Alligator mississippiensis: one gene and its partners. The main gene of each other region encodes a partner of the protein of the gene in region 4 in a complex. Links are inferred from orthologs where the notes say so. Each region holds a gene or a part of one and is shown on either strand. Other genes may lie near its edges. The genes, in order: LSM8, SART1, LSM5 and PRPF6.

Region 1 (7,672 bases), on a different chromosome or scaffold from region 4:
ACACAATCACCATAATAACAGAGCTTCTCACTTGCTCAGCTCTGAAGCTTTAAGCCAGCCACAAGGCTCACAAGTCTCTGGGGTATGTGCTTGCTGGCCCACTTACAGATGACTTGGTCAGCCCTATCAGTAGTCATGACAGTATTCCCATGGCCAAACAGCCCATGAGGAAGCAGGAGAGTGAAGCTTACTCATGACTGCAGACACAGCCCCAGGGGGATGTTTAGCTGCTATATTGGTTGTATATCCTGCTAAAGGTCACAACAGCTGTCCCCATGGCAACCTCAGATTGCTGATAAGCAGGTAGGGCAAGTGAATGTTCTGGAAATCCCACCTTTAGGCATCCATATTTTTAATCAAGAAGGGAACTTCAAGTATTCTTGTTTTTAAAACACTGATTAATAAATAATATTTACATGTAAATGTAGCCTTTACTCAAATGAAGGTAAGCACAATGAGCAAGTAAATATATGCATGACAGCATAAAACAAAGGGATTATTAAAATAATTTATTTGTTAGTAATATAAGAGCTTGATGGCAACTGTATGTCTATGCAGTCATTCAGTATCTTCCTAGGAACAGGAGGAGCAAAGTGAATCAATTGCAGCTCCTGTCCTGAGGCTGGTGCTGTTGGCTACAAATGTCCAACTTGGGATCCTTAAAATTCTGGTTTATTAGGCGGATTGAAACACTGTAATGAGTTAAATCATAAACCTTGGGGCTGGTCCTTCCACACACACACACACACACACACACACACACACACATGCACACACACAGTAGCAAGCTACAAGAGTCAGGTATACCTATCCTACAAGCGCTGGAGTCTGCCGTCGATGGCCAGTCGAGGCTTCTTTCAGTGTGGTGTTATCTTCAAGAAGGGGGTTGCCGGCTGGTCCTTCTGGCTGGACGGGTCGGGTGCTGGTCAAGTGGGAGATCAAGAGGGCGCCCCTGAGGGTCACTTTTCACTGCTTTTTATTTGTCCTTGGCAGACTTTGGTGATTCCCCAGTTTTCAGGTTTGCCCAATCCAGGGGTCATTGACCCTCGTGGGACTTCCCCCCTTGGTGGCTACTGGATGGCATCTGTCAGCCCCAGGGGTTGTCCGCATGTACGTGCAGGTTTGGAAGTCCATTGATGAATTTTGAATAGGGCTCTGGGAGCGGTCGATTTGGAGATATTCAGCCCAAAAGTTGGTCCCCGGCGTTGATTAACTCAGGCCAGGGCTTCTAGCCCTTGAACAGTGAGGTTTAGAGATTTCCCGGTTGTTACATTGGCTTCTATTGATTTCTTCCGTTGGTTGATCTGCAGTTTCCCAGGTGTTAATTGCTGCCTGCTACAGTGTTACACATTCAATCACTGATTCACTCCCTCTTTCAGGGGCCAGCCTGATACAGGGAAGCCAAAGTTTGACTCCTGCCCTTATTAACATTGCTACTAAACACATTTATAGTTGAAAGTTGAAAGGTGAGCAGTATAAAATATAAGCTACAAATGCCATTGCACACAAATAGATAAAAATACCAAAATACACGGGGAGATACAAAATGCACACATACAATTTTTAAAACACAATTCCTTATCTTAAAGTGAAAGAAAGAGGAAGGAAGAAAAGGTAGAAGAGGACAAACTTATTCAAAGAGGGGAGAGCAACTGCAGGCAAGAGGAAAAGGGGGCTTTCTGCTACAGTGCTACACTGCTGGTTCTAGCCCTAGAGGACCATCTGCCAGCCTTGGAGAACCAGAGCCCAGGGCTGTTTCTATATTTTATATTAAGAAGATACAGAAATAGTCCTGGAAAAAGGAACCTGGTAAACTTGGACTCACTGCAGGTGTATGTCTAAACTATGAGGCCACAGTCTTGCTCCCTCCCTTTCTGTACTCCCATTTCTGGCCCAATGGATCCTCAATTATTTTTCTGCACATCAGCATGAGGGATGGTGCCCTTCTATTCCCAGAATAGCCTATGGTCTGTTGTTTGGGTATAGTCCTGAGAGACAGGAGATGAGCTTAGTCCTTTGAAGGAAAGGACGTAAGTGTTGACCTTCAGCAGGTTTTAGGACTATGCATCTGAGTGGATGAAGACACCGGAGGACTAAGATTTAATACTTGCTCCTGTTCTCATCTTTTCCTATTGGGAAGCTCTAGGTTACTGTGTATGGCATCTGTATTTTAATACCTCTTTTGAGCTGCCTATCTCTCCCCTTGTTATTCACATGAAGCCCATGTACTTCCCCATAAAGGTATGGGGACCAGGCTCCTATGAATTAGGTACTGCAGCCTATGTTCTATATGGGCTCTGGTCCGTATTAGTTCAGTCCCCATTTTGCAAAACTAGGTTAATAATTCTTGCCTACCTTATAGGACATGGCTCAGCAGCCTATGGCCTGCAGGCCACATCCAGCCTGTGGGTCATTTGATCCAGCTTGTGGCTGTGGAGCATTAGCAGTAGTTGCTTCCCCTGTCATGGGGAAAAGCAGTGGTGGCACCTCGGTCCCAACTGGATCACTGGCCTATAGCCTAAGCAGGCTACCAACTGCTGTTACAGATTTTTGTTAGGATAAAAGTACATGAAAGATTTCTAGGTGTTAGTATACTGTGGCATTGTGGGCCATGTACATTCTTCCCAATGGAAATCTCATGGGATTCTGACTCCTACAGGGCACTTAATTCTTGGCCGTCTCAAAAAAATTATTTTTATTAAAAGAACGACAGGTACAAAAACAGAGAGGGAAATGTCATGACACAAAAATGCCTTTAGCTTCTTAACTGTAACACATTATAATTAATTCCAATCCTTGTCTAAGGTTTAGTGGCAGCTCTTAAGCTTTTTATAATAAGAGCTTTAAGAGGCTGAGCATTATATAAAGCTCAGGCTGCAAATATATTTGTGCAGTACAGACTGGCATCTTTTCCCATGTTTCTGATTGGAAGGAGAACATAACAGGCCCTCTGATTTTAGAAAAACAAGTTTCTCACCTACTACTGAAGTGCCAGGACCTCTTTGTACATCTATGGTTTTTTTCCCTCTCTCCCTCAAGTAGTTATGAAATTCAATAAAAGAAATACTCATCACTGTCATTTTAATCATTTTCATCACTGTCTGAAAAAGGGAGGACCCCAAACTACCGTAAATGGGAGCTAGACAAAGCTGTTTAATTTGCATCAAAGTAGCTCTATTTATCCAGTAAGGCCTTAACTGAAGGGTATGGCAATAATACTAATGCAAAACAGAAGAATCCAGCTTGAATGCTTACACAGACAAGTACTAAAAAGTTAAGAAGTAACTATGCAATTGCAATGTTGAAGGGCCCTATCTACATTACACATATTATGCAATTTACTGGTTAATTGTGCAATTCATTTAGACCGGCTACAGGTGTAAAGTAACTATCACTCCATAAAAAACATCCTTCCCTCTATAAAGTTAGAGCTTGAGGCAGGAGATGAGCTTATTTCTTTGAAGAAAAGGGTGTAGGTGCTAACCTTCAGCAGGTTTTAAGACTACACCCCCAGTAGGTGAAGACATTGTGTCATAACATTTCCCCTCACTGTTTTGTACCTTTCCTTCTGCAGTCATGAAAGTGTTCCCATGGCGGAGCAGCCCCTGAGGAAGCAGGAGGGTGCATGTAGTGGGGAATACTGCATGACAGCTATGCCCCCTCAGCTGAGAGCCCCACAGCTCCCAGGCCTCCCAGCTGAGGGGGTGCCCCACACTGCCGTGGCAGTGTCCCGTGCACTGCACCAGCGCTCTCAGGGGGTGCACATGCATCCCCATGCACCCCCTATGTGTCGCCACTGGATGGCGTTAAGGTGTGACTGGCAATAGGGTGTGAGTGGACCGGATGCTGGGTCCCAGACACACCTCTTGCCTGGCGACTGTGTGGGTCATACATCAGATCCCATCACACCTTTCCCTAGACATCTGAAGGGGCCCAAATAGTGTTGCCAGGTGTATGATAATTTCAACTCTCCTACGATGTATGATCAGTAATAATAAAAATGGTTCAAAATGTACAGTCATTTTTGAGAAAGCTAATTGAAGCAGCGTATGCAAAAGGTAAGTCACTCTCAGGGAGTCTTACCAACTTTTGGTTTTGCTTTCAGTACTTTCATATTACTGCTTGCCTCAAAATAAAGAGATGCTTCAACTTTGATGACCCAGTTCTCACCCATTCACGGGCAGTGAACAATAGAAAGTAAAGTAAGAAAGAAGACTTATTTGCATACTGTTTCAGTGTACAATAGTTTTTCAGCAAATACGATAATTTTGGGCTTCCAATAAAATAATTTCAGGGGTGTAGGCTGTAGCTGTGTCGCTCTGAGGACATAAGCAGACAAGGCTCTGGGTAAATCCGGTATCTTTCATTAAAGCCACTGAAACTGTTGGACGAATTCTCCCTGGCAAGCCAGCCCCGCCCGCACGCGGACACGTGACGTCAGCACCAGCCTCTGGCAGGAGGGAAAACCCAGTGCGGCACAGCGCAGCCAATTCCCCGGGATCACGCATGCGCAGTAACACCCCCGCGCTTTCTTGCCGAGGCGCAGGTTCGTTTCAGCGCATGCGTATTCAAAACCTTCCCCCTCCCCCCCGCCCCGGTCCTCCAACGCGCCCAGTGTCGCGAGAACAGAGCACAGTTGGCGTCAGCTCCGTTTCCAGAGCGCCGCACTTCCTTCCGTCACCGGAAGTCATTTGCTGCGGGCTGTCTCGCGGGAGCCTGTAGCCGGGGCCGGTGCGGGGCGCGGGAGCTGCCGCCATGACGTCCGCCTTGGAGAACTACATCAACCGTATCCCTCCGGGCCTCGCTCGTGTGGCGTCATGGGGGGGGGAGCAGGCGGGTGCGTGCGGGACGCGGGGCAGCCGGGCCCTGGAGGCAGCGGGTCCGCGCTTGGAGCCCCCATCCGGAGCAGGCTGCGGCGAGGGCGGCGGTGCTCGCGGACCGCCCGCCTCCTGCATCCTCTCGAGCGGAGCCCAGCACAAGGCCGCGCGGGCTGGGGCTCTGTGACCCGACTAGCGGGTCTCACACCTTGCACACAGCCGGACTGAGCTGCCCGCGGGGCCTGTGCTGCCTGCCGCACCCACACAGGCAGCTGGGGGCCCTGTCTGGACCAGCCCCAGGGTCAGGCTGATAGGGCTGCTAGCAGTACATGTCTCCTGCCAGCCCCACACACCATGTGCCAGGCCAGCCCCGGAGTGGGGCGCGCGCTGCTGCGTGGGGGCTGTGGCAGGCGAGCTCTGCGCACAAGCTCTGGCCCGGCCTGAGCCCTCCAGCAGACAGGCCCAGCAGTCCTCATCCTGCACATGGGAGTAGATGAGTTTGACACCTCTAGTTTGGAACATGAAATGGCTTTGCATGGTTTCAAGGCCAAACATTTGAAGGGGGGGGCATTATGTATGCAATGTATTGGATTTTTTTAAGTGTTTCCTTAATGGGCCCGCTAGGCACTGTTGCTGTAATTACCTCGGATGGAAGGATGATAGTGGTGAGACATTTCTTCTTCTCAACATCATGTTGCGTCTCCTCAAAAGTCTTTAGCAACCCAACAGGCAGCACTTAGGATGTAAACGTCAACAGTCAAACCCTGACAGTGTGTGCAGGACCACCAAAAGCGTGTGATATTAAGTGGGGTTGACAGTAGCAGGAAGCGTACACCAGGTGGCAGCAATTGAAGGAGTTCACAAGATGCAGCAAGTTATAAAGACCCATTTCTGTTCTAGAGTCGCACGTTGCACTAGGGGCCACAAAGCCTGTCTACTTCTATCTGTTCATTTTATGAAGGGCTGTGCCCCAACTCTAAATAGAGGGGCCAGGGTTTATAGCCTGCTCCTTTGGTGTATGTTACAGAAGTTCATGACAATACACCTGACACATTTTCTTATCTAACATAAGATATGAAAGAAACACCACAAACACAATCTGTTAAAAGTTAAATAATGATGAGCTGAAGGTAAAAGAGGCTCTATAACTGTGCTCGCAAGTTGAAAAGTAGCTTCAGCCCCTCTGTTCCATCCTCCATTGCTCTCGTAATAAAAGCCTCAATAATAGAGTTGAGTGTGATATGAACAAGAGTGATTGAATATAGTTTATTGGAAGAGATCCCTTTCATTATTGCAGCTTGTGTGCTGTGCCTTATCACCTGAGGGTTTAGCACTTTTTAGCCTGTTAATTCCCCTCTTCTGATAAACTTGTAAAAGCAAATATTTTCTCTTGGCTTCTTATAAAGTTGGCCTGCGGAATTCTGGTATGTACTGTGTATATTGTTGCATCCATTCCCATTTATAGTGAGAAGGAACTTACTCTACCAAATTCTGTATTTAAGCATTATGATTATCATTAAACCAATCAAAGACTCAAAGTTTCTATTTGTGTTCTGTTTCTTAAAAGTTCAGTACTTAGCTTGACTGTTAGCTTTTTTCTCCTGAAATTCAGTCTCTTGTAATGACCTAAGACAAATTTGAGGTGTGATAAATTAAAGGTCTAGTTGGTTTGCTTTCAAAATGATGCAATATGATAGTGTTATTCGTCACTGAAATTGATATGCCAAGCATCTATCGTATAACTTGCACAAAATGTTATCCAAATTTAGAGAACATTGTTTTCAGCTTTCTGCCAGGCATTGCAGTGTGGCAGCCATTTTAACATTTTTGAAGTACCTCGATTTATTTTCTTAGTATTAACTATTAGAAATGTTTCTGCTAATTTAAGCACATGTGACTAATCAACAAACTTTTATGAGTTTTCTTGCTTGTAAATATAAGAAAAAGAGATTATATGCTGTCAGTGATATGCTAATAACTCTTTATTTCCTGGTTCAGTACAGCATCCTGATTATTTTGTATAAAGCCATAGTCTGAAACCTTATTATTGAACATCTTCACTTATGAGGAAGCCAAATGTGATTGGCTTGGAGTACTTTCTACCATTACAACTCATGCCCTTATTTTGCCAAGCCTGTTCCCCATCCTTCAAATCCACTCTCAAGACTCAAGCTGTACATTGCTGAGAACTGTCAGGTTCTGTGCCACTTCCTGTTTAGCTATGTTTTCCTCTCATAGCTACTTTGGATTTTGTTTTCCCATGCCCTTAGGCTGGATGCTCCGTGGGGGTGAGGGTATGTGTGTGTACAAAGCCCATACAGACACTGATTCTGATTGATTTTCTTCTCTACTAAAATAATTTAAGAGTTATTGACTGTACTGTGCATCAGATACTTTATAGCAGTAGTGCTCAACTTCTGGCCAATAGGTGAGATCCAGCCCATGTGGCCATATTATCCTGTCTCTGGGTGTCCCCTGAGGTCCGGAAATGTGGTGGCAGGGGAACAGCAGCAGCGTTAATTGTTTCTTCTGTCCTGTCAAATTTCCAGAGCCATGGGGAGCCTTGTGGGCTGGATTGAACTAGCACGCCAGGGGTTACTTTACAGCTGGATTTACCTGCAGACCAGTCCCTTGCTGGATCAGGCCAGAGGACTGACCACTTGCATGGGATGTGGTACACAGAGCAGCTCCATGCCACTTATCTGGCTTGTGGGGTAGGAAGGCTGAACATCACAGCTCTACAGTAACTGCCTGTTTGTATAATACGTGTAGTAAGTGGTGGCTAACCTGTGGTAACTCATTTCTCTTCCATTGAAACTAAATTATTATGGGTTAGTTTCTGCTTACCATGGGGT
Region 2 (8,017 bases), on a different chromosome or scaffold from region 4:
TCTGACCTTTGGACCCCCTAGCTCTTAGCTCCAGCTGTTATAAACCCCCAGCTCTTATAGGTCCCCTATAGAACCCCCAGCCTCTTTAGTTCCCCTGTGGGCCCTCCCCAGTCCTTATAGCTCCTGAATAGACATGAGGCCCTGTAGATACCCGTTAGCCCTCATAGATCCTCTATAGATCTCAACTCCTATAGAATTCTATAGATTTAGTCCTCATATTACCCTGAGCTCATGTAGATCCCTTATAAGTCAGGCTTTAAACTAAGTACAATGGGAGATGGGGAGGCAAGAGATGGAGAGCGTCTAGAACCTACGAACTGCAAGCCATGCAGCAGTGCACCCTAGGTACGTACTAAGGGGCCCTTTGGGCATCAGAACAGCGGGGCATCAAAGGCACCATTCGGAGGGCTCAAGTGCCTCTATACTAATGCTAGGAGCATGGGGAAAAGGTAGGAAGAACTCACAGTTCCGGTTGCAGATAATAACTTTGATTTAGTGGGGCTAATGGAAACCTGGTGGGAGGGACCCTACCCATGACTGGGTGGTACACATTGAGGGCTACAGGTTGTACAGAAGGGACAGAGTAGGGAGGAAAGGGGGTGGGGCTGCTCTCTATGTAAAGGAGCATTATACATCCACCCTAATCAAAATGGGATCAGAGAAGGAGAAAGTAGAGGCATTGTGGGTTTGGATATGTGGAGGTTGAGGGGAAAAGGACTTGGTGGTAGGGGTCTGCTACAGACTACCACACCAAGAGGAAAAGCTCAACTTGGAATTCTTGAGGCAACTCTCAGAAGCCAAACGGTCTAGGGACGTACCCGGACATGTGCTGGGAGAAGCAGTCAGCCAAATCCAACCGTTCACGTAGGTTCTTAACCTGCGTGCAGGACCTCTACCTAACGCAGGTGCCTCGGTGTTCCTGAACAGGGCTCGAGATAAATCTCCCAATGGATTCTTAGACGGGCATCAGAGGGACACCAGCCTACTAACTGTTGACACTGACTTGGTGCAGAGTCACTTGGATGGGCCGGATGTGTTCAAGTCAGCAGGCCCGGATGGGCTGCATCTGAGGGTACTGAAGGACTTGGCCCATGTCATAGCAGAACCGCTGGCTTGGCTGTTTGAGCGCTTGTGGCACTCGGGTCAGGTCCCGGAGGACTGGAAAGGGGCCAACGTGGTCCCTATTTTCAAGAAGGGGAGGAAGGAGGATCTGAGTAATTATAGGCCAGTCAGTCTCACCTCCATCTTTGGAAAGGTCTTTGAAAAGATCATGAAGGATCATATTTGTGGGAGTCCAGCGGGAAAAGTAATGCAACAGGGCAGCCAGCATGGATTAGTAGCAGGTAGATCATGCCTGACCAATATGGTTTCGTTTTATGACTGTGTAAAAAATGCTTAGATGCAGTAGAGGTGGATGTCGTTTTCATGGACTTTAGCAAGGCCTTTGATACGGTATCTCATCCTATTCTCAGAAATAAATTAAGAGGCTGTGACATAGATGTTTACACGGTTCAGTGGGTGGCAAATTGGCCCAGCGGTCGAACCCAGAGAGTGGTAGTAGATGGGTAGGTATCGACCTGGATGAACGTGGGTAGTGGGGTCCTGCAGGGTTCAGTCCTTGGACCTGGACTCTTCAATATCTTCATCAGTGACTTGGATGTGGGTGTGAGGTGTACTCTGTCCAAGTTTGTGGATGATACTAAATTGTGGGGTGAAGTACACACTCCGGAGAGTAGGGAACAATTGCAGGTAGACCTGGAGAAGTGAGAAAAGTGGGCAGTACACCATAGGATGCAGTACATCAAGGACAAGTGCAGAGTGCTGCACCTAGGGTGCAAAAATATCCAGCACATCTACTGCCTGGAAAGTGACCCTCTCAGCAGCACAGAAGCAGAAAGGGATCTTGGAGTCATAGTGGATCCAAGATGAACATGAGTCGGCAGTGTGACGAAATCATCAGCAAAGCTAATGGCACTTTATCGTGCATCAGCAGATGCACGACAAATAGATCCAAGGAGGTGATACTTCCCCTTGGTTGGACAGTTGGAGTACTGCAGCCAGTTTTGGGTGCTGTACTTCAAGAAGGATGTTGATAGACTCGAGAGGGTCCACAGGAGGCCACTCGTATGGTCAGGGGCTTACAGGAGAAGGCCTACGAGGAGAGACTGAGGGACCTGGACCTCTTCATCCTCTGCAAGATAAGGGCGAGAGGTGATCTTGTGGCCGCCTACAAATTCATTAGCGGGACGCAGCAAGGGATCGGAGATGCTCTCTTCACCAGGGCACCTCTTGGGGTAACAAGGAGCAGTGGTCACAAACTGACAGACAGCAGATTTAGGCTGGATATCAGGAAAAACTTCTTCACGGTAAGGGTGGCCAGAATTTGGAATGGACTGCCGAGGGAGGTGGTGCCCTCCCCTACCTGGGGGGTCTTTAAGAGAAGGCTGGATAGGCACCTGGCTGGGGTCATCTGATCCCAGCACTCTTTCTTGCCCCGGGCAGGGGGTCGGACTCGATGATCTGTTGAGGTCCCTTCTGACCCTGGCATCTATGACCCAATAAAACCCTAAAGATCCAACCCCTACACAGCCCCTAGCCCTTATATGTGCCCTATAGAACCTCCCCACCTCTTATAGCCCCGTGCCCTGTAGACCCCCAGCTCTTACCCTGTAGACATCCAATCCCTAAAGAATCTCTAGCCGTTACAGATGCCCTATAGAACCTCCTCAGCCCTTACAGATTCCCCCTCCTATAGAACCCCCAGCCCTTATAGAGCCCAGACTATAGAAGCCAAGCCCTTAAAGATTCCCTATAGGTCCCAGGGCCTATAGACACCCCTCAATCCTTATCAATTCCCTACAGATCACAGCCGTTCTAGGAAAACTACATGGCTCCTGCCAATAGAGAACACCCAGCCTTTATAGATCCTCTGAGATTAGCTAGCCTCTATAGACTCTCCGGCCCCTACAGACTTTGCCAAGAAATCCCAAGTCCTATAGACCCCTGCAGGAGCCCAAGCCCAGGGCAGGAGGGTCTGCAGGGGTCCCCTGACAGCTGGGAGGGTGGGGGTGGCACCTGTAACCTGCCCCCTATGTGACTTGCCCCCCCAGGTCTCAGGAGCGGGCGCGCATGGCGCTGTACAAGGCCCAGCTGCGGGAGATGGAGGCTCGCGTGAGCAGCCGGCCTTACCTCTTTGAGAGGGTCATGCAGGTGCGGGTCCCGCCCCGGACACCTGGGTGCTCTCGTGCTCTGGGAGGGGCGTGGGACTTGGGGGGTTACAGCTGGGGCGGCTGGGAGCTGACAGCCCCTGCCCTGCAGGCCGGTGCCCGCCGGGCCATAGAGCACCGCTTCTCCCAGGTGCTGGAGGCGCTGGGCATCGAGGAGGCCGGGCTGTGGAGGCAGGCGGGGCACCAGGGCCCCCCCTCAGCAGGTATGAACAGGAGCCCCCTGCCCGGACGCCTGGGTTCCCTCCAGCTATCGGAGAGGAGCAGGGTCTGGTGAATTAAGGGGGGAGCCCGGACACCTGGGTTCTCTCCTTTGCCATGGCGGATGCTGTGCCCTCCTGACAGGTCTCCGCGGACAAGGGCCGAGACCCACCTCTGGATCCACCTGAGAAGGCCCTGGAGTAGCGTAGCTTCTGCCCTGAATTAAACAGGCCTTGGGAGCCGGGACACCTGGGTTCTCTTCCTGCTTGGGGAGGAGTTGGGGCTGGAAGCCGGGATGGCTGGGCTCTCGAGCTAGGGGAAGGACGCGGAGTCCGGGGGCTGGAAGCAGGAGCGGGTTCTCTTGTGCCCTGGGAGGGGCGTCGGACTCGGGGCTTAGAGCTGGGATGACTGAGAGCCCACGCGCCTGGGTTTTCTCCCAGCACTGGGCAACCAGCTGGGAGGGAGACTGAGCCACTGCAGGCGCTGCCCTCATACAGCGCCAGGGGGCGCTGTGCTGCAGGGGTGCAAAATCCACCCCCACGATCCATCAATGGTACATGCCATTAAGGATGCACCAGACTGTGCGGATTGTACCATGCCTTCTTGGTGGGGAAAATCAATCTCCCCCCTTCTGGATCATACCATCTCTTCCTTCCATTGGGAGAAAGGACATTTTCCTCACGCTTCTACTTACAATGGTATGTCCCTCTGTGCCTACAGAGCAGTAGGTGGGTCATGCCACTTTTTCCTCTGGGGGGGGTCTAATATTCCACCCCTTCTACTACCAATAGCATTTCCCAATATGCATCTAGTGCAGCATGTGGATTATACAATCCTATCCACTCCCGAGGGGAAATGTTTCCTCCTTGTACTCCTAATAGTATCCCCCCGCCCCCCACGCCTACAGACGAAGTGTGGGTCATACCATTCCTTTTGTAAAGGAGAGGGGTAATCGCCCCCTTTGTACTGCCAATGGTATTTGCCTGTACGCATCCAGAGCAGCAAATGGATAACACCATCCTTTCCCCTGGGGGGGGGGGGGAATCTTTCCTCCTTATACCCCGATATGATTCTCCCCCTTCCAGCATACGTGGGTCATGCCACTGTTCCCTGAGTAGGGGGATAAGAATTCTCCCTATTCTACCACTGATGTGTTCCTACATGCCTCGAGAGCAGTGTATGGGCCATACCATTCTCCGCCTTTTAATGGGGGGAGTTAACCCTCAACCCCAATTAAGGTAATGTTATTTAAGGCCTAGGATGAGTAGCCTCCCTCCACCCCTCAGGGGCACTCCACCCCCGCTTCCACTACAGGAATGGTACAGTCCGACGGCGGCTGGGCACAAGATAGTATTTAGCGGGAGCCAAAGCGGAAGTAGCTTTCAGCGCTCTCCCACTTCCCGGAAGCAGGTAAGGCTGGCCACTGGAAGTGGTATGACTGACCGGAAGTAGCGACGGTAACCACGGAAGTCATGTGACTGAGCCTTCCCCACGTCCACCGGAGGTAGTGGCGACGAACGCGGAAGCCGTGTCCTGACCTCGCCGGATGTAGAAGCCGTGACCCGGAAGGAGTGTTTCGCGAGACGGGAAGGGACGTCTTTCACCCCGGAAGCGGCGGGAGGTTGACCCCGGAAGGGTTTGCGGCCGCCATTCTGCGTCGCTATGGGCTCTTCCAAGAAGCACCGGGAGCGCGGGGAGGCGGCGGCGGCGCCGGGGGCCGGCTCTGGGACCGCCGGGGGTGGGGCGGGGCCCGCGGAGGACCCACCCCCAGCCTCGGCCCCCGCCCCCGCCTCGGCTTCGGCCTCCTCCTCCTCCTCCTCCTCGCGGCACCGGGAGCACAAGAAGCACAAGCACCGCGGCGGCGGGTCGGGCTCCGGGTCGGGCTCCAGCGAGCGCCGGGGCAAGCGGAGCCGCAGCCGCGGGGAGCGGAGCCGGCGGCGCAGCGGTGGGGACGAGGCCGCCGCCCCCGGGGGCAGCAGCAGCCGCGGGCATGGCCGGGCCGGGGAGCGCGGGGCCGCCGAGGCCGAGGGCGGCAGACGGGCCAAGCGCGAGCGGCGCGAGGACGGGCACGAGACCGGTGAGGGGGGCGTGGGGGCGGTGTACAGGAAAGGGGGGGGAGTGAGGGAGGGGCTGCTTTTCGGGGAGCAGGGCAATGGGGAGGAGTGAAGATGAGGGTGGAGGCTTATCTGTGGGGTGGGGGTCATGGGGTGTCGGGAGGGGGCTGTGAGGAGCCCGGGTCTGTGGCAGATCTGACGCTCGGGCTGGGTCCTGGCTGGGAAGTTCCGGGCAGAGGGGACTTCTCTTGGCTTCACTCACGTCTCCCCCTTGCTCCCCTCCGCACCAGCCACAGCGCTCAAGAGCGGCTCTGGAGAAGCCCTGTCCCTCAGCATTGAGGAGACCAAGTGAGTGAGAGCTCCTTTCCCATCCCCCCCACCTTCCCGTGGTGCAGTCGTGCCTCACCCCGTGGATGCAGGTGGGGTTGGGGCTGGGGTTGGGGGGGGCTACAGCTCTCAGGCGAGCGGGGCGCAACACCTCGCCTTTGTTCCAGTCCCGCCTAGTTGCCCTCAGCTCATGGGAAGCCTGTTTTGCCCCCCATGGGTCAGGTCTTGGCAAGTGCAGCTGCCCTGAGGAGGGGCTATGAGCCCTGCTAGGGGGGTAGGCACTGCTAGCCCAGACCCCATGTTTCCCATAATAATCTTGGGCTGAATGGATCTCGTTCTAATGGGGTGAATGGATCCAGTTGTTTGTGAGATCAGGCAGGGAGATTCTTTGCTGGTTGCGCTGTGCGCTGCCCTGAGCAGCGCAGCATGGGCAGGAGGGAGGAGGAGGAGCTGCGGGGGGCAGGAGCAGCACCTGGGCGGCTGCAGCAGCCCTGTTCAGAAGTGGGCCCTGGCTGGGGCCGGGGCAGCTGGGAGCGCGGCATCTGTTGCCCCAGGTGGCAGTGGACAGGGCTCAGTCCCCTGCGGGGCACTGTGGGGGCAGCTGCCAGCCAAATGGGGTGGAGTGGGAGGATGACTGCAGCTGCACCACCCCGGCGGGGCAAGCTCTGTTACATGTGTCCCCTGTACCCCCCCCCCAACCTTTCCTCACCCCCAGCCAGCTCCTGGTACCTAGTGCACAGGCAGCCCACCTCCACATGCACCTCACATCCCTCCACACCCACTCCTCCATGGATACCCCCCCTCCCCCACATACACGTATCCTCCTCAACACCCTGCTCAGACAACATACAAGAGTAAGATTTTATTTTTGAGCTATTATACAGTTGCCTGTTTTTGTAGTACTTGAAACGGAGACCAGGCTTAAAAATTATTTTTTGAAATAAAACTAAAATGCGTCATAGTACATGCCTGGGTTTTTGTATGCAATTTTTGTCTCTGACCTGTTATGAGATGCAAAAGATTTAGCAGGTGTGGTTCTCCAGAACTCATTACCTAGCCCTCTAGCTGAAGTCATTGCCCACCCCTGGCTTACTGGGTTCCCACCACCCTGATTCATTAATACTCAGTTTAATAAATAGTGTGACACATCAGTCTTGGTCACAGCCCCAATGTACATGAGGGTGGATGGGTCATGAAGGAGGGGAGCTGGTCCAGGAGCCCTGGTTCTGAGCCCCAGGCACTTTGTGACTGTCACCACTTTCTGTCTGTAGCAAACTCCGAGCCAAGCTGGGCCTGAAGCCCTTGGAAGTGGGCACCATCAAGAAGGGTAAGTCTGTATTGAGCATGCCTGGGGGGAGTGAACCCAAGCACCCAGCCTACCAGCCCCCCTACTCTAACCCCTCAGCCCCCACTTGCCTTCTGGAGCTAGAGAGAACCCAGGTATCTGGGTCCGAGTGTTTGTCTTTCCCTACCTCAGCCCCCACTCCCATTCAATAGCTGGGAGAGAACCGAGGGGTCCGGGCTCTCTCAACCCCTGCTGCAATCCCCCAGGCCTCATTCTTATCCTTGAGCTGGGAGAGACCCCAGGCATCTGGTTTCCCAGCCCACACTCCCTGCCCAGAGCTGGTGAGAACCCAGGCATCCAGATCTAGCACCCCCTGCTATCACCCCCCCCACCCCCTCACTCCACTTCCAGACCTGGAGTGAATCCAGGTATCTTGAGTTCTCAGCGCCCCCGGTCCCTTCCCATCTCCTGGCTGGTGCAGTCCCGGCCCTCCCAGCCCTGTCCCCAGCTGTTCTCTGTGCTATGGGTTCTTGGGGGGGCCTGGGGAGGGAGTCTCAGGGGGTCCAGGGCACACCCATATTTCATGTATGCTCCCCCCCCCCGCAGAGGCAGGCACCAAGGAAGACCCGATGGCGGCCGATGTCATCAACCCGATGGCACTGCGGCAGCGTGAGGAGATCCGCGAGAAGCTGGCGGCTGCCAAGGAGAAACGCCTGCTCAATCAGAAATTAGGGTAATCTCACCCCTTTGCTGTATCCCTGCCCCCTTGCTGTCTTGGCCCTGGCCCACATCCCTTCTATCCTGCCCCCACCCTCGCACCCACTCACCCAAACACAGCGGCATCCCTGCTTTTGTCTCCCAGAGCATACAAGTTCTAGGGGCAGAATCCAAGAGTGTTTCTTTGCAAAGAACCGTGGGATATCTGT
Region 3 (7,975 bases), on a different chromosome or scaffold from region 4:
GGGTGTGAATCTCCTATGCATCGTCAATGATTGTTTTGTTACTTTTCTGTAGTTAAAAAATGAGTGAAAATGAAGAGCTGGTATCTTTCAAGGGGTGTACTGAGTCTGCAAAGGTTGAGAATCACTGTGCTCTACCTCTAAGATTAATAAGTATATAATATGATCCCTGTATTTCAGATAGCCATTTAACCACTCTGCCTCATATCCTCTAACTGAAGGCCACAGAGAGTGTGTGTGTCAGAGAAAGAATTAAAACGTAGGCGATCTAGGCTCCTCTTGCTATGCTCAGACAAATTGATCTCTCTCCAGGTTAAATCCTGTTCCTACTGAAGTCAACAGCAAAACTCTTCAAAAATACAGCTGTGCAAGACCAGGCCCTTAGTTATTGAGGGATTCTGTTGACATTGGATGAAAGGATTCTTTCTAAAAGCAAAGAAAAGGATAAATGCTCCAGGAAAATCTCATCATTAATGCAATCCATGTAGACTCCAACTATAACAACAGATTAAAGTCTGCAATTACATAATATTCATCAGCTTCAACAAAAGTTCCATTACATAAGAAATATATTTTAGGGAACAAAAGACATGCTGTAAGGAACTATTCCACACTGGTAGGTGAATGATTACTTATTAGGTCTTTTCAATCACACAGTTCTCTATAATGCTTAGAATAAAGCCAGGAAAGAAAAACATTTATGAAATACTGCCATTATCTTCTCCAGTAATGTGCTATAACCAAAAAGAAGGGCTAGAAACTACCTTTCATATTCAGTTCAGCAAAGAAGAGGTATAGTCTGAGACTGTTTTCACTAGTTTGCAGGTTGTCATAAGGAATCATCTAAGTGAGGTTCCTGGATAAATCTGATTATTGTTTATGAGAGAGGGTTTTTTTCATTGTTTGAAATTCTCCTTCCTGCTAGCTGAGGCAATAAAAAGAACAAGGCATTGTAGAACAAGATGTCAGCTTGTGTAATAAAACAGGAAGCCTGCTGCTGTATTTTAAAGCAAATTGTTGCCATACTCTGTGACTTTTCCATGGTTCACCCTATGTAGCTATGGGCACTTGTGGAAGAGGAATAGAGGTCTGGAAGCTGTCATACACTCAGGTGGAATAATGTCAGGCACAAACTGCTCTGACTTTGTGAAATTTTTCACTCCCTCTGCGCGTAGCTAAGTAACAAAGCACAAATTAGTAACATAGTTCTCCTACCTGCATTGTAATATATTACAGGATAACTGTCAGCAAGTGCAGCATTGGGAAAGTAATAATGACAATCAGGATCAGCTGACTTGATTTTACTTGCAGTGAGACTTGAAACAGATATGCTTTACATTAATAATATGATTAGGAACACATTTCCATGAGCAGTGTGACATTCTTTTCATTGAAGTCTCAAGCATCCATTTTTGAGATAAAGGCTTAATGCACCAGTGACTTTCTGCAGCTTTTCTGTTGGAAAACATTTGACTATGCTTTTGCATTTATCCTGCTTATCTCATGGCAGTGTTACCAATTTACTGTGTAGATATTTATATTTGGGTCTTCCTTAGACAAATTGTGTGGATGTTACAGGAGAGGTGTGACAAGGTGACTTGTCAGGTTTAGCCCCAAGTGAAGGAAAATAAAAGCACAAATGTCACATGATAACCATGTGACTAAAATCCAGGTTCGCTGGGATTTGTGAGCAGCTTGTGATGAGACAGAAGAACTGGTAGAAGACTTGGGGAGTGTGAACTCAAGAATTAGTGCTAGGTGAAGAATGAAAGCTGTTCAGTAAGGTTATGTCTATACCACTTCTCTCTTGACTGGGAAGTAAAGCTTAGTCAGTCACTGCTGCTGGGGGATACCCAAAGCCTGCAATTAGACAATGCAAATGCTAATGAGCGATGCTGAGCTTTTTTGAGGGCATGAGTGCAGACTTGCTTCAGCCCTATTTTGCAGTTTTATATTGCCTAATTGCAGGTATTAGATGTGACCCACTGGGAACAAGTGGGCACAACTAACTTCCCCAGGAGCAGATGTGGGTTCAGGAGAGAAATGGTATAGTTATGGCTTTAAAAGCCATGGAGACTATAGTCTGTGTTAGTCAGGGGAGTTGCTTTGTTTTGATACTATTTATGAGGCTTGTGCTGGAACAATAAATTGTGCCCCAAGGTAAATAAAGCCTTGAAGTTTTTTACTAGTTCCTTTTAGGGTTGGTAAGAAAGCCACCGGCCCAGGAACCTAAATGGGAGATGAGAAGAGTTAGCAAGTTTTACATGATGCACGTCTAAATGTTTTGCAGAATTTTGGAAAATCACAACTTGTTTTCTCAAACATAAGATCTCCATTTGGATATTGGAAGGTTTAAATCTTTATCATTTTCCTTCGTAGTTGAAGGAGCCCTCATTTCATCTCATGAGTGAGATAATGGGTTTTCCTGTTCAAGAATAGGAATGTAATGTCAGGAATATTGCCTTTGTATGTCTCCTTTGTCTATAAAATTATAAATCCCCTATTCTAAAGACATTAATGAAGTGATTCTCAGCCATGGTACCATGAAGTCCTTTCAAGGGTGCTGTGGAGTGCAACACAATGTTAGCACTGGTAGGTGTGCAAACACATATTCATGCTTTACAAGATAAACCCCAGATAGGAATCCATCGTGTCAAAGATATTCTGACCTGTTGTGGTCTTTGAGTTCTTTGCCACAGAAGAACTTCTCTTTAATTTTTCTGTAGTCAAAAAAAGAAGTGAAAGCTAAGAGCTGACATTTTTCAAGTAGTGCCTTGAGTCTAAAAAGGTTGAAAACCACTGCGTTAATGTATATTTCCAAAGGCTGCAGTAGCTCTAAGTGATTGCCAACATCATCATTTGAGTGAACTTCACATGAGAGTGCATCACCTGGATTGGAGGGGTGTAGGTTGTACACCACCTAGATTGTGCATCACCTAGATTGGTTAATTCAGTTTATAGCATGTCCTATGTAGGAACAAGCTGGTACACAATCTTTTTTAAGGCTAATAATCCAAAATGTGAGCACACAACTGAAAAGTGATCCGTAATGACTTGTATATCTTTCTAGGAATGAATAACCAAGACAGTCAGTCACTAACAAACAGAAGTTCCTGGGTGAGTCCTCAATCACACTTGTTTTTGCTTGCATCCAGTTGGGATTAAACTATCTTTCTGTCAGTCCGCATTCTAAACTGAATACCTATATTAAATTCAGGCAACAGCTAGTAGCTTGGCAGTTAAGACATTAAAATTGTGGGTGTGAGGATGCAGCCTTATTTTACACCATTTGTTACTGAAAATGGATTGGAGGCATCATGCTTGTCATTGTCCCATCATAATATTGTCTATTACAGCAAACTTGTTGGGGCATCCAAGAGAAGCGTCCGTAAGCCTTCTCTGCTGCCAGTGTTAACTGTGTTTTTAAGATCAACAGAGATACAGTAGAGGTCAATATCCTGTTTTCTGCATTTCTCTTTATATTTGCTGTGTAAAGATCCTACCTGTTGTGCCTCTCCCTTCTCTGAAATTGCTTTGGTTATACGACAAATGTTTCTCAGCTTTATGGCAACTAAAGTCCATCCAGTAGTAAAACAAACTCCAGGTTCTGTTATCTTCTTTGGACTGATCACTCCAAAAGAAATGTAGGCCATCCCAGACTCCGTAGGTTGACCTTCTCCTGTAAGGCAATTTTCACTTAGCACTAGTGTGTGGTTTCTATAGATGCTTGATTTTTCTGCTAATCATTGCAGTTCATTCTGGCTTAAGTGTCACTGTAAGTGTGTGTATGTTCTGGATCACTTTGTTCAGAGAGGTAAATTTGGCTTTATTTTCACTGGGATACTTATCGGCTGTACAGGCTGACCAGAATACATTCAAAGCAGGCAGCAATTAGGTCATTTTTCTAGCCCCTTTGTCGGACCATAGACGTGAGTAGTGCAGTTCTAAAAAGCTAGCTAGGAAGGTTATTTACAGCCTTTCCTAAAACAACAGTATTAAAAAGGGCTGGTCAGTGTTCTATGGGGGGCTGCTAACTCCACTGCTCCCTGATCCAGCCAAAAAAACCCAACCCCCACAACTGTCCATAGGTTTGCATCTGAAACTCCCAACTGCATTTTTACCTGCACCTTGCCTAACCCTGAAGACTTTCACAGGATGCAGAAAGTTTGCACAAGGTGAGAAGAACTGCAACTATCTATGATTTGTGCTCAGCCGACCTAACGCTTCCAGTGTTGCTCATCAAGGCCCAGCGACAGGAGAGAACACAGTCAAATGCCTATAAACTTAATTATGCAAAAGGCAAGAATTTCTTAGGGTGATAGCTTTTCCTGGAGCAATTATGTAGTTGGCATAAAGTTAGACGAGCTTTCAAACGCAAGATATTCTTCCTCAAGTCTTGAAAGCTGGTCTAACTTTATTTTAACCCAACTGGCTGATCCAATAAGAGCGATTGTTCTAAGAAATCCTTGCTTCTAGCAGACCCTCCGGGCTACGACATCACTCTTGCACTTTTAGCCACACTTTTAGCTTCTCTCATTTCTTGGAGTCTCAGTCCAGCATAGATAGACTCCCTGTGCTGGAAGAAGGGTGAATGCAACCGAAAGCTTGCCAAAAACTTTTTTCTAACTACTTGGTCTAATAAAAGATGCCGCATCTACCCAAAGAAACTTGCCTGCCTTTTGCACTACCATAAACTTAATTCAAAGTGAGAAAGTATTGCCTCCTGCTGCCACGGGTCCCTCCAGACTGTGCAAAGTGGCTGACTTAGGGGATCTGAAAAGCAGAGCATGCACAAGTAAGGACGCAGCGTCCTCTATGCAAGTCTCCCTTGGTCAGTGCCCTGCGTGGCCCTGGGGCCAGAGCATGCGAAAGGGGCTTGGCAAAAGGTCTACTTAATTGCTCCAACATCGATTGATTGAGTCTGGCGGGGGAGGGGGCGCTCCAAGCCATTCAGCTCGCTCCTTCGCATCTCGCTCGGCTTATTTCCCCTTGGAGGCTGTGCGATTGAGCAGGTCTGCTTCCAAAATGGCGGCCAACGCGACGACTAACCCGTCGCAGCTCCTGCCGCTCGGTGAGTGGGTTTCCGCTAGGGTCTAGCGGAGCGGGGAGGAAGCAAAGGCTCTGGTTTCCGCGGGCTCTGGGTGCGTGGGAAGCGCTAGTACTGGCTACAGGGATGGATGGATTGGAGGAGGGGACGAAGCGCGAGAACTGTTAGACCGTTTGCGGGACGCGGCTGGGGGAGGGGAGTCACGTGAGACTGCGCTGCGATCGCGGCTCCCTCCCGGCGTGGGTGGAACGATGATGACGTACGTCGTACGTGGAGTGCGCAGGCTGGGGGGGGGGGGAGGGTGTTACGTGACGCGTGGGAGGGGCGATGCTGCAGCAGGGTGGGGTGGGGACTCTGGCTGTCACTGGACCGGCCGCAGGGTTGTTGTGTGTGTGGAAGTGCTACTTCAGCGGCCCGTTGGCTGTCTGCAGCTGCTTGGTCACTTTTTTATGCTGTGCTCATTACTCTGCACTAGTGGCCAGGCCACTTATTGCACATTTCACCCATGAGTTGTGCAGTATAGGTAACGCGTAGATGGGGCCACGTAAGGATGCAGCTCCCCTCTGGAAGATGTCTGTCCAAAGGCATTTTGGCCTGTAAAAGGTTTCCTCCCATATGCTTCTCTTACAGAGGCAGGAGGGAAAAACGGAGCTCCCAAACGATCCCGTTCTTCCCTAGCTAAAATTCTGCTGTCCCAAAGATTTTTTTAAATGTGGATTATACCTTCTAAGAATGTATTATTTAATTTATCTATCTTTGTTAATGGCAGCACTGCTCAACCTTTGGGACCCTCAACCTCATCCCAGGCCGGATGCTGCGTGGGGTGGTTGTTTTGGACTGGCTGCATGCCAGCCTGACCCCTGTCTACCCACTCTGGCCATGGGCTGGCCTGACCCCACGTGCCTAATCTAGCCGTGTGCAGGCTCAGCCCTGCACGCAGAGCCACAGCATCCAGCTTGCCAGGCTTTTCCCAGGTCTGGAACCTTAGCAGTAGGAAAGGGGCTGCTAACACTGCTACTGCTCCAAATTTTGGGGCCTGTGCAAAGACCTATGTGCCAGATGACATTACCTCATGGGCTGGTGGTTGAGCATCACTGGTTAATAGGATGTAGAAAAAAATGTAAAGATTAAATGTAAACATAAACCCTATGTGAATTGTTATTTAGATTTCTATGCAGCTGGATCTGGAAAGTGCTTAGCATGTTGGGTACTGTTGAAATTGATTATCATTAATAGTAATATTACTAAAACTTCATTCCAAAGTGGGCTCGCTAGGGTTATATAGTACTCGGTATGCCCTTGTGTTGTGTATATAACAGTGGATATCCAAACAAAAGCTATTTTTATATGTATTGGTCTGTCAATGTTTCTGGCATTCTGTTTGAATGTGCACTTGTTTATCCTCACATTCTGTAAAAGGTGAACATTAAAAATAGATGTCCATTTATTCTATATGATGACAAATGCTTTTAAATTTGCAGAGCTTGTGGACAAATGTATAGGCTCACGTATTCACATTGTGATGAAGAGTGATAAAGAAATTGTTGGCACGCTCCTAGGGTTTGATGACTTTGTCAGTATCCTTTACATGAAACATTTTCAGGGTATCAATTTTTGTGTTTGCCTCTTCAATGCCTTTACATGTGTTTTAAGTTCTTTCCAACCTCCAAACATTTTTGCACTGACAAATATGCTACTTGAAGTTGGAAATAAAAAAGGCATGGCTTTTGTTATGAAATGAAAATAAACTTCAGTTTAATAACTTTATGTTTTCTGTAGTTTTATTCCTTGATCCTAGACTTCAGACATGGTTTTAGAGGATGTTACAGAATTGTAAGTATTATATCTTTCTTGGCTATTTTAACTTCGTTGTTTTCACATGCCGAAAAATTCTAACAAAAGAATATATACTGATTTCTGGAAAGCAGAATTCCTATTTGGAGGAGGATGGTGGGGCATGAGGCTTCTTGAGTCTGGTGTGTGTGGTGGAGGGAGGCGGGGGAAGATCCTCAAGAAAGTGCTCACTGTCACAATGCCCTGTAGAGCACTGTGGGAAGGTGGAGAACCCAGACATCTCCTGTCATGCTCTGCAGAGCATGCCACTGTAGTAAAAAGTGCTTATGGAAATAATCTTGTTGGAAACAAGTACTATTGAGGGTTCCACCATTTTTATTTTTGTTTTAGTACATTAAAAGAAGTACATGCCTGTTTGGCTTGCTCTTCAAAGATAATTGAAGCATCTCAACATTACCTCTGTCCGCACCCCTAAGCCTCAGTTTGAAAGTGTATATATTACTGTCCAGTAATTTTTCAGTCACCTCTTAAATGACTATATTAGGAGCGTACAGCTTAGGATCCACAGGCAATGCTTATCAATTTATCCTAAAAACTACTCCTGAAGAAAGAGAAAAAATTAAATATAAACCTTTCTCCCCCCAGTTGTTTGTTTTTTCCATATTTGACTGAGTCATTTGACAGTTAGTTATTATTCAAGCTAGGGCATTGTCTGAAGATCATTAACTCTGGGGCATGCCATTTTGAAAGTTTTATGTCCTTCTGCTCTTGAACATGTTAGGATTTTGGTATGTGACTAGAAGGGTGAGGAAGATTGGCCAGCCTTGAACTGTGCATTTCTGGTGGAAAAGTCAGTGATTGAGCATGGATACCTCACCAGTATCAATGCTATGTACGTTCTTCTGTGGTTGAGAGGAGGCTTTTGTTTTGGCATTTTTTTCCTAGATGGTAGCTGTATGTACCCTGCCAGCTACTGTGTAGTGTAGAGATCCCTAACTTAGTGTTAAACAAGTTACCTTGGGTACCTGAACCAGTTTACTCATGGCACCAGTGAGCTCTTCTTACCCTGCTGAAAGCACTGTTGATATTCCTTAGTGTTTGCTACAGAAAAGAGTTTCTGTAACTGATGTGCTTAAA
Region 4 (6,821 bases):
TTGAAGCAGAAAGTTCTCTCACACTGATTCAGTAGTGACTTTTGAAAATGTTGCCCTGGTAACAGAGCAAGGCAGCACAACAACAGAGAAGCCAGAAGAACTGATTCCTAGATTTATACCATAACTACAAAACACTGCCTTGTTGAAGTTCCATAATTAAGCCTACCTTCTCTCTTTTCTCCTTTCGTCCATCCTCTTATCCAATGCTGCATAAATAGCATCCGCTTCCTCATCATCTTTCTCATAAGGACCACTTGAGAACAGGCTCCCAGCATAGCCATTAAACTGAAAATTTTAAAGGGCCAAAACATTTTAGTTTCAAAGTTCAGTTACACATCTAGCAAAGCCAATACAGTCATTCAAGAGAAAGAAAACCCCTCAGAGACAATTTTAACAGTAAAAAGGCAGCAAAAGGGCACAGCACATCAGCCCCCTTGGCTCTGCAGGGACTTGTAGACCTCCTGCATCTAAAAAGAAAGACCTATAAAGGATGGAAGACTAGATCCACCTCAAAGGAGTATTCTGCACTGGTCTGGACCTGTAGGGTGCAAACCAGGAAAGCCAAGGCTGCGACTGAACTCCAACTGGCTACATGTATCAAAGACAATAAAAAGTCCATTTTTAGATATGTGGGGACCTGGAGGAAAAGCAAGGGTAACACTGGACCCCTGCTAAACCATATGGGACAACTGACAACCAATGCCCAGGAAAAAGCCAACCTGCTTAATAGGTATTTTGCGTCAGTTTTTCACCAGTCCCAAGGGTGGTAGTCAATAAAAGTCAATCACTGTGGTGCACCGTGACCAGTGGAGTCCCCCAAGGCTCAGTCCTTGGGCCTATACTGTTTAACATCTTTACTAATGATGTGGACATTAGTATCAGAAGCGGACTGGCCAAGTTTGCCGATAATGCTAAACTTTGGGGTAAAGCGTCTATACCCGAGGACAGGAGGGCGATCCAGGCTGACCTGGGCAGGCTCAGAAAATGAGTGGATGAAAACCTGATGGCATTCAACACTGAAAAATGCAAGGTACTCCACCTCGGGCAAAAAAACCCGCATCGCGCTTATAGGCTCGGCAGTGTTACACCTGCTAGCACCGCAGCTGAAAGGGACTTGGGGGTCAGGATTGACCGACCACAAGATGAATATGAGCCACCAGTGCGATGTCACAGCTGGTAAAGTGAGCAAAACTCTGGCTTGCATCCATAGATGCTTCTCAAGCAAATCCTGGGATGTCATCCTCCTGTTGTACTTGGCCTTGGTGAGGCCGCAGCTGGAGTACTGCATCCAATTCCAGGCTCCACAATTTAAAAAGGATGTGGAGAGGTCTGAAAGAGTCCAGAGGAGAGCCATGCGCATGATCGGAGGGCAGGAAAACAGGCCTTATGATGACAGGCTGAGAGCCCTGGGGCTCTTCAGCCTGGAAAAGCGCAGGCTCAAGGGGGACCTGGTGGCTGCCTATAAGTTTATAAGGGGTGTAACACCAGGATCTGGGGGAACGTCTGTTCACCAGAGCGCCCCAAGGGATGACAAGGTCAAACGGTCACAAACTCCTCCAAAACCATTTCAGGCTGAACACAAGGAAGGAACTTCTTTACTGTCCGAGTCCCCAAGGCCTGAAACAGACTGCCGCCAGCAGTCGTGCAAGCGCCTACTCCGGACTCCTTTAAGAGACATTTGGATGTCTATCTTGCTGGGATCCTTTGACCCCAGCTGACCTCCTGCCTCTGGGCCAGGGGGCTGGACTCGACCATCTTTCGAGGTCCCTTCCAGCCCCAACGTCTATGAAATGCAACTAAAATAGCCTTAAAGCAGCCTATCATAGTAGTGAATTTCATCAGCAAAAACCTCTCGGTAAGTGATAATTGCATAAACGTTTCATTAGCAGAAATGTTTAACTATTGAAAACAAATGCAAAACAAACAACGCTGTATCTCAGTACGAGTCAATTTTACTGAGTTAAACGCAAGTTTTTATTGGGACCGGATCATCTCAACGATGGGGTAAAAAGCAGCTGTTTCGACTTCGTTTCTGGAGAAGCATCAGAGGAACGGTCCACAAAGCACTCACCTTGATATTGTATTTCAACATCCCTCCCCAAACCCCCTGGGCTCAGTACAAACAGCCCGACCGCAACGTGCAAATATCACCACGGAAAAACACGCCCATACGCGCTGCGGCATGACACACGCACGCAACTCGTGGCAAGGGGTGCTGCGAACTGGCTCTGCCGTTGTTCCCTCACATAGCACGGCACAGGGCGTCGGGATGATTTTGTGTGGTGTTTTTGGGATGAGGGGGGAGGCAGGGAGAGAGGTATTACATTTCCCCCCCCCGTCAGACAGGAGAAGCATCACCTCATCATAATTGGTGTCGTTCAGATCTTCGTCATCGTCGTCTGCCGTCTGGTTTTTCTTCATCTGGTCCCCGACGGTCCTCTTCCCCGGCGGCGCATGGCGATCGTCCACCGGGTCGTTGGCATCACGCGCCGGGCCGATATCCGAACGGGTGGTGAAGCCCGTAGCGCTAAACGGAGAGACCAGCAGCTAGGATTTAGTCTGCAGCGATAATACGAAGGCGAGGAACAAAACAATCCAGCCGTTCACAAGTGCAGCACCCCACTGCTGAAACACACTGTGCAGGAGCAGCTCCCCCCCTTCAAGGGACACCATGGTGGAGCAAGGAAGCCGAGCTTTTACTGCCCGGCTTCCCTCACAAGGTTTGGTGCCTCTAAACGCGCGGGACCAGGCCCGACGGGCGCTGAGAGGCGCCGCAGCCCCCCCTCGCCTCGCCCAGGCCCGGGGAGGGGTGGGGGGAGGGCTCACCCGCGGCCCAGGCCCGGCACGTAGCCCAGCGGCGCGGGCATGCCCAGGAACGGCTTCTTTTTCTTGTTCATGGTGCCCGTGATGGCGGCGGCTAAGCCCGAGGGAGCGGCCGAGCTGGAGCCGCCCGCGCCTGAGGAGGAAGAGGAAGAGGAAGCGGCCGCGGCGGCCATTTTGGGAAGCGGAGGCGGTGCTACCCAGGCAGGCACCGCGGCCGGAAGTCCCGCCTACGGGCTTCCGGGCCGAGGGGCGCAAGCAGAGGGGAGGGGGGATGGAATGTTGGAGGGGGTTGGCTGTGAGTGGAGTGTGCGCATGCGCGCCTGGCTCAGGCTGCTTGCAGGTGCCTGCTGCTTGCTGCTGCAAACAAGCATCCCCCCCCCCACTGCAGGCATGCCCCTTGCAACGCACTGCATGTAACATGCATGTGCATTACACACCACATGGCAGAGGTCAGGCTCCGCAACATTGCCAACTTTTGTGATTAAAGTTGTCGTAAAAGTTCACGCGTCACCGCAGCTCTTTCTTTTATATAAGTATTAGCAATATAAATGGATATGAAGGAGCTACGCTGTTGCATGTTCCTGACGCGTAAACTTTTACAAGCCACGCCAAAAATCATGAGATTTGATAATGCTGCGTGCACGGCATCCCTCCAGCCCTCGGTGCGTACGGGTGCTGCTCGGGGTGCTCTGCTTTGTGTCGCCTTCTGGCTCCCTTGATAGCAACCTGTGACCTCCCGCTTGGCCCTGTTGGTTATTTGTCCCAAGGAATCGGTTGTGACCTCCCTTATTAAGACTTATAATTTCATTGGCCCACGATTCCCTTTGGCCCGTCGAATAGGCCCCCAGCCTGGGTTGCACCATTCATCCCCAAGGCCTGCAATGCACGGCGATGGAGCCATGCTGCGGGGAAGGTCTACCTAGGACCAAGGACAGAGGCCGTGCTTGTATTAATATAGGGAAATCCCTCCCAGGCTTGCTACCAATGTTTCAGGTCTCAGGGGTAGAAGCAGCATTGGCAGCCCATGCACAGACAAAGCCCAGGAGTCTTTTAGCATCATGAGCGCTGCGGCACACAGATCTGTGCTACTTGTTGGGAGATGCGGCTTCATTTGCCGACTGGCTTTGAGGGGGTCTCTCTCATGGGGATGAAGGGCCTTATTAACACAGAGTTTGCAAAGTCCAGGAGGACCTCATAAGAAGGGGAGTTCAGCTACACAGAGGGTTTGACCCTCCTTCAAGGAAACCCCTTTGAAACCCAGCTGAGGAGTCTCACTCCATCAGAGCTCGGGAGGCACGCACGTTGTTCAGAGGTCGGTGGGGAAAGCTTCATCGTCATCACGGGCGGACGAGGTTCTTTGAGTAGATGTGACATTTTTTGTATTAGGCCAACTAAATAGTTGGGGAAATTGTTCTTTGCAAGCTTTTGGGCACAACCGCCCTTCGTCCTTAGACGAACACGATTACAACCAACTTGTAATCACAGGGCATTTGCTTCTGCATCACGGTGCAGCAGGGTAACCCCTGTGCTCACATCACCCATGCACTTTACGTGTTCAATGCATGCCACTAAATCCACCCTGGTTTGCTTGATGCTTAGCCCAGCTTCTTTAAAAAATGGTGCGTTCCTAAAGCAATCCTCGCCTGAGTGACAGCAGCAGAGCCAAACTGGACATCAGCTCTGCTGGAAATATCACTGGAGTTCCAGCTGCTGGTGGATGGGTCTCCACAAGACACCACGTAGGTCTAAAGTGACCACTGCCCGCTATCAGAGATTTTTCAGTACCTCCTGAGAAGCAGAGAGGCTTTCCCCCATGAAATCTGCTTGGTTCCGGTTTTGTATATACCACCAGGTGGAGTACTTAGCACATTAACTTGCCCCTCATTAAATAATCACCTCTCAGGTGCATAATTGAAGACAGGGAAAAAAAGAGACTCAGATCGGTTCTTTTTTGAATGTCCATGCGTGGAATTCAGACCGAGTCTGCCTTAATGCTTGAGAGCCAATGCAGCCTCAGCAGGCTTTACAACTTCCCAGAACTCATTCAAAACTCACAGGGGGAAAAAAAAAGTCTTCAGAACTTGAGTAAAATTCGATACACTCCTCACCCTAATGATCACAGCCTAGTTTTGTACCTCAAGTGCACTACTTTCTCATCAGGCCTTTACAAGAAAATCAATTTCATATCTTAGCTCTCTCTATGAAGTTAAATTTAATCTACGTGGCTGTATTTTGCTGTATTGCTTATTTAAGGGATAATATCCATGGCGGTGGAGTATGCAAAGCAATAAGCTGAGCTTGTACTTGATTAAATGCTGAAGCGGAGCGACGGCATTTAATCAACAGCAAACACCATTTATTGCAAGCATGCTTCAGTGCCATGAAAATTACTGCTATTGTACTGCCAGAGAGCAATTTTAGGCATCTATTCTTGTTTGAAGAGGGTTTGGAACTGGTATGCTGCTATCTGTGTAGGATTTTCTGGTGATGGTTATATCTGGGGTAGGAGAAATGGGGGGAACTAAACATCGCAGCTGACTTTGAGGATGCTAGAATAAGCGTGACCTGACCTCCCCCCATTCCAAGCAAGCCCCAAATTGTAGAACAGTCAATTTTGCATTGCGCTGGAGGGTTTGTTGTTGTCTCCGTGCATTGAATGTAAAGGAAGGGGGAGAGGAACTGGAAGGGATAATGTGCAAAAAGGGGTGATTGGAAGGGATGGGGATAAAGGCCGTGAACCCCTACAAACCAAGCCTTGCCATAGTCCGTCCCCGCTTCCACCCCCTCCAGCCCCGACATTGGCTCTGCTACCCCCCTGATGGAAAGCAGGACAGTGAATAATTGATGAAGGGGGTCCTGATCAAGGGTTGAAGCTGAATCGCTGATCAAGGGTTGAAGGACTGTGTGGAGAAGAGTGACGCCGCTGGAGATGCTGCCTGAATGCCGATCGGGTTGAGAGTGTCACGCCTAATGAGACAGCGCTCTCTTTTCAGGACCCCGGCAGGCTCGGTCTTCCTCGGGTCCAGGCTGTAATCACTGTCATCGCTGTCACTGTTAGCAGTTATTATTTGCACTGTGCTCAGGGCTTTGTTAACCCCTGCTGCTGTGGGGCAGCAAAGCAATAAAGCGTGCACAGATACAGTCTCCTAGAAGACATCCAAAGTGGCTCTTTTGGGCAATACAGTTGGCTATGGCCTACTACATCTTCTCTGGTGCTTGGGACTCCGCGCCTAATGCCTGCTTGAATACACTGGATCTTTTCATTTCTCTACTAAATCTAGAGCAGATGCCTGTGGGCAAGGGAAGGTGGGCTTTGATTGATTGATCTGTCCCCACTGGCAGATCAACAGTTTTTCTTCTGGCTCCAACTCATCCCCTGCTGCCTGGACTTCACATGACACAGGCCTCTTAATATGCGTCCCTCCCACACCCAGTTATTTTGCTTTTGCAGCATGCATATGTGATCCTGTAAAATTAAATGCATGCAAGCTATCCCACCGGGCTAGCATAGCAGGACTGGATGTGTAGTAGCCAGAAAGCACCTACCAACAAGGACTTCTTCAACATCAGTGTACCCTGGCCCTGCTGAGAGCTCGGGAGCACGTGGTAATTCTGGTCACAGTGTTTCGGGAATGCCCCTAATGTCACACCCCATCAAGAATGGCCTATGGCCGACCCACGTTGGTTCATGTTGCCCAGTTGGGGTTGCTTCCCAGATGCTCCCTGATGACACAAGGCATTAAATAGAGACTGCTGCACAATCAGTCCATAGTAGAGCAAGATGCCCAGTGGAAACTGCCTCTGGACCACATAGTCCTACACAGGGGCTCAGCACATGCACTTTCACCCCCTCAGCCATCCAGCAAAGACTTTGGGTGGACCCTTTTCTATGCACTAACTGCACACGAGGCCATCCAGCTCTAAACTACAGCTCTTTCCTGCCGTTTCATGGCCAAGCAATTGCCTCCTTTGGCGTATCCCAAACTTTTAGCTTCCAA

The links.
Region 1: PRPF6 (region 4) and LSM8 share a complex: the UniProt entries of both Homo sapiens proteins name them as parts of the U4/U6-U5 tri-snRNP complex. The link is inferred for Alligator mississippiensis from reciprocal best matches to the Homo sapiens genes PRPF6 and LSM8.
Region 2: PRPF6 (region 4) and SART1 share a complex: the UniProt entries of both Homo sapiens proteins name them as parts of the U4/U6-U5 tri-snRNP complex. The link is inferred for Alligator mississippiensis from reciprocal best matches to the Homo sapiens genes PRPF6 and SART1.
Region 3: PRPF6 (region 4) and LSM5 share a complex: the UniProt entries of both Homo sapiens proteins name them as parts of the U4/U6-U5 tri-snRNP complex. The link is inferred for Alligator mississippiensis from reciprocal best matches to the Homo sapiens genes PRPF6 and LSM5.

The regions. Positions count from the first base shown.
Region 1 is NC_081827.1:48,187,887-48,195,558, reverse strand, and holds the start of LSM8 (LSM8 homolog, U6 small nuclear RNA associated), read left to right. Parts: upstream 1-4,656; 5' UTR 4,657-4,755; coding exon 4,756-4,786; intron 4,787-5,441; coding exon 5,442-5,482; intron 5,483-7,672. UniProt on the Homo sapiens protein: Plays a role in pre-mRNA splicing as component of the U4/U6-U5 tri-snRNP complex that is involved in spliceosome assembly, and as component of the precatalytic spliceosome (spliceosome B complex).
Region 2 is NC_081838.1:4,483,656-4,491,672, forward strand, and holds the start of SART1 (U4/U6.U5 tri-snRNP-associated protein 1), read left to right. Parts: upstream 1-5,002; 5' UTR 5,003-5,087; coding exon 5,088-5,502; intron 5,503-5,769; coding exon 5,770-5,827; intron 5,828-7,077; coding exon 7,078-7,133; intron 7,134-7,697; coding exon 7,698-7,824; intron 7,825-8,017. UniProt on the Homo sapiens protein: Plays a role in mRNA splicing as a component of the U4/U6-U5 tri-snRNP, one of the building blocks of the spliceosome. May also bind to DNA.
Region 3 is NC_081828.1:129,629,910-129,637,884, forward strand, and holds the start of LSM5 (U6 snRNA-associated Sm-like protein LSm5), read left to right. Parts: upstream 1-4,967; 5' UTR 4,968-5,022; coding exon 5,023-5,068; intron 5,069-6,525; coding exon 6,526-6,621; intron 6,622-6,849; coding exon 6,850-6,877; intron 6,878-7,975. UniProt on the Homo sapiens protein: Plays a role in pre-mRNA splicing as component of the U4/U6-U5 tri-snRNP complex that is involved in spliceosome assembly, and as component of the precatalytic spliceosome (spliceosome B complex).
Region 4 is NC_081832.1:2,898,835-2,905,655, reverse strand, and holds the start of PRPF6 (pre-mRNA-processing factor 6), read right to left. Parts: upstream 3,004-6,821; 5' UTR 2,997-3,003; coding exon 2,827-2,996; intron 2,528-2,826; coding exon 2,359-2,527; intron 286-2,358; coding exon 167-285; intron 1-166. UniProt on the Homo sapiens protein: Involved in pre-mRNA splicing as component of the U4/U6-U5 tri-snRNP complex, one of the building blocks of the spliceosome.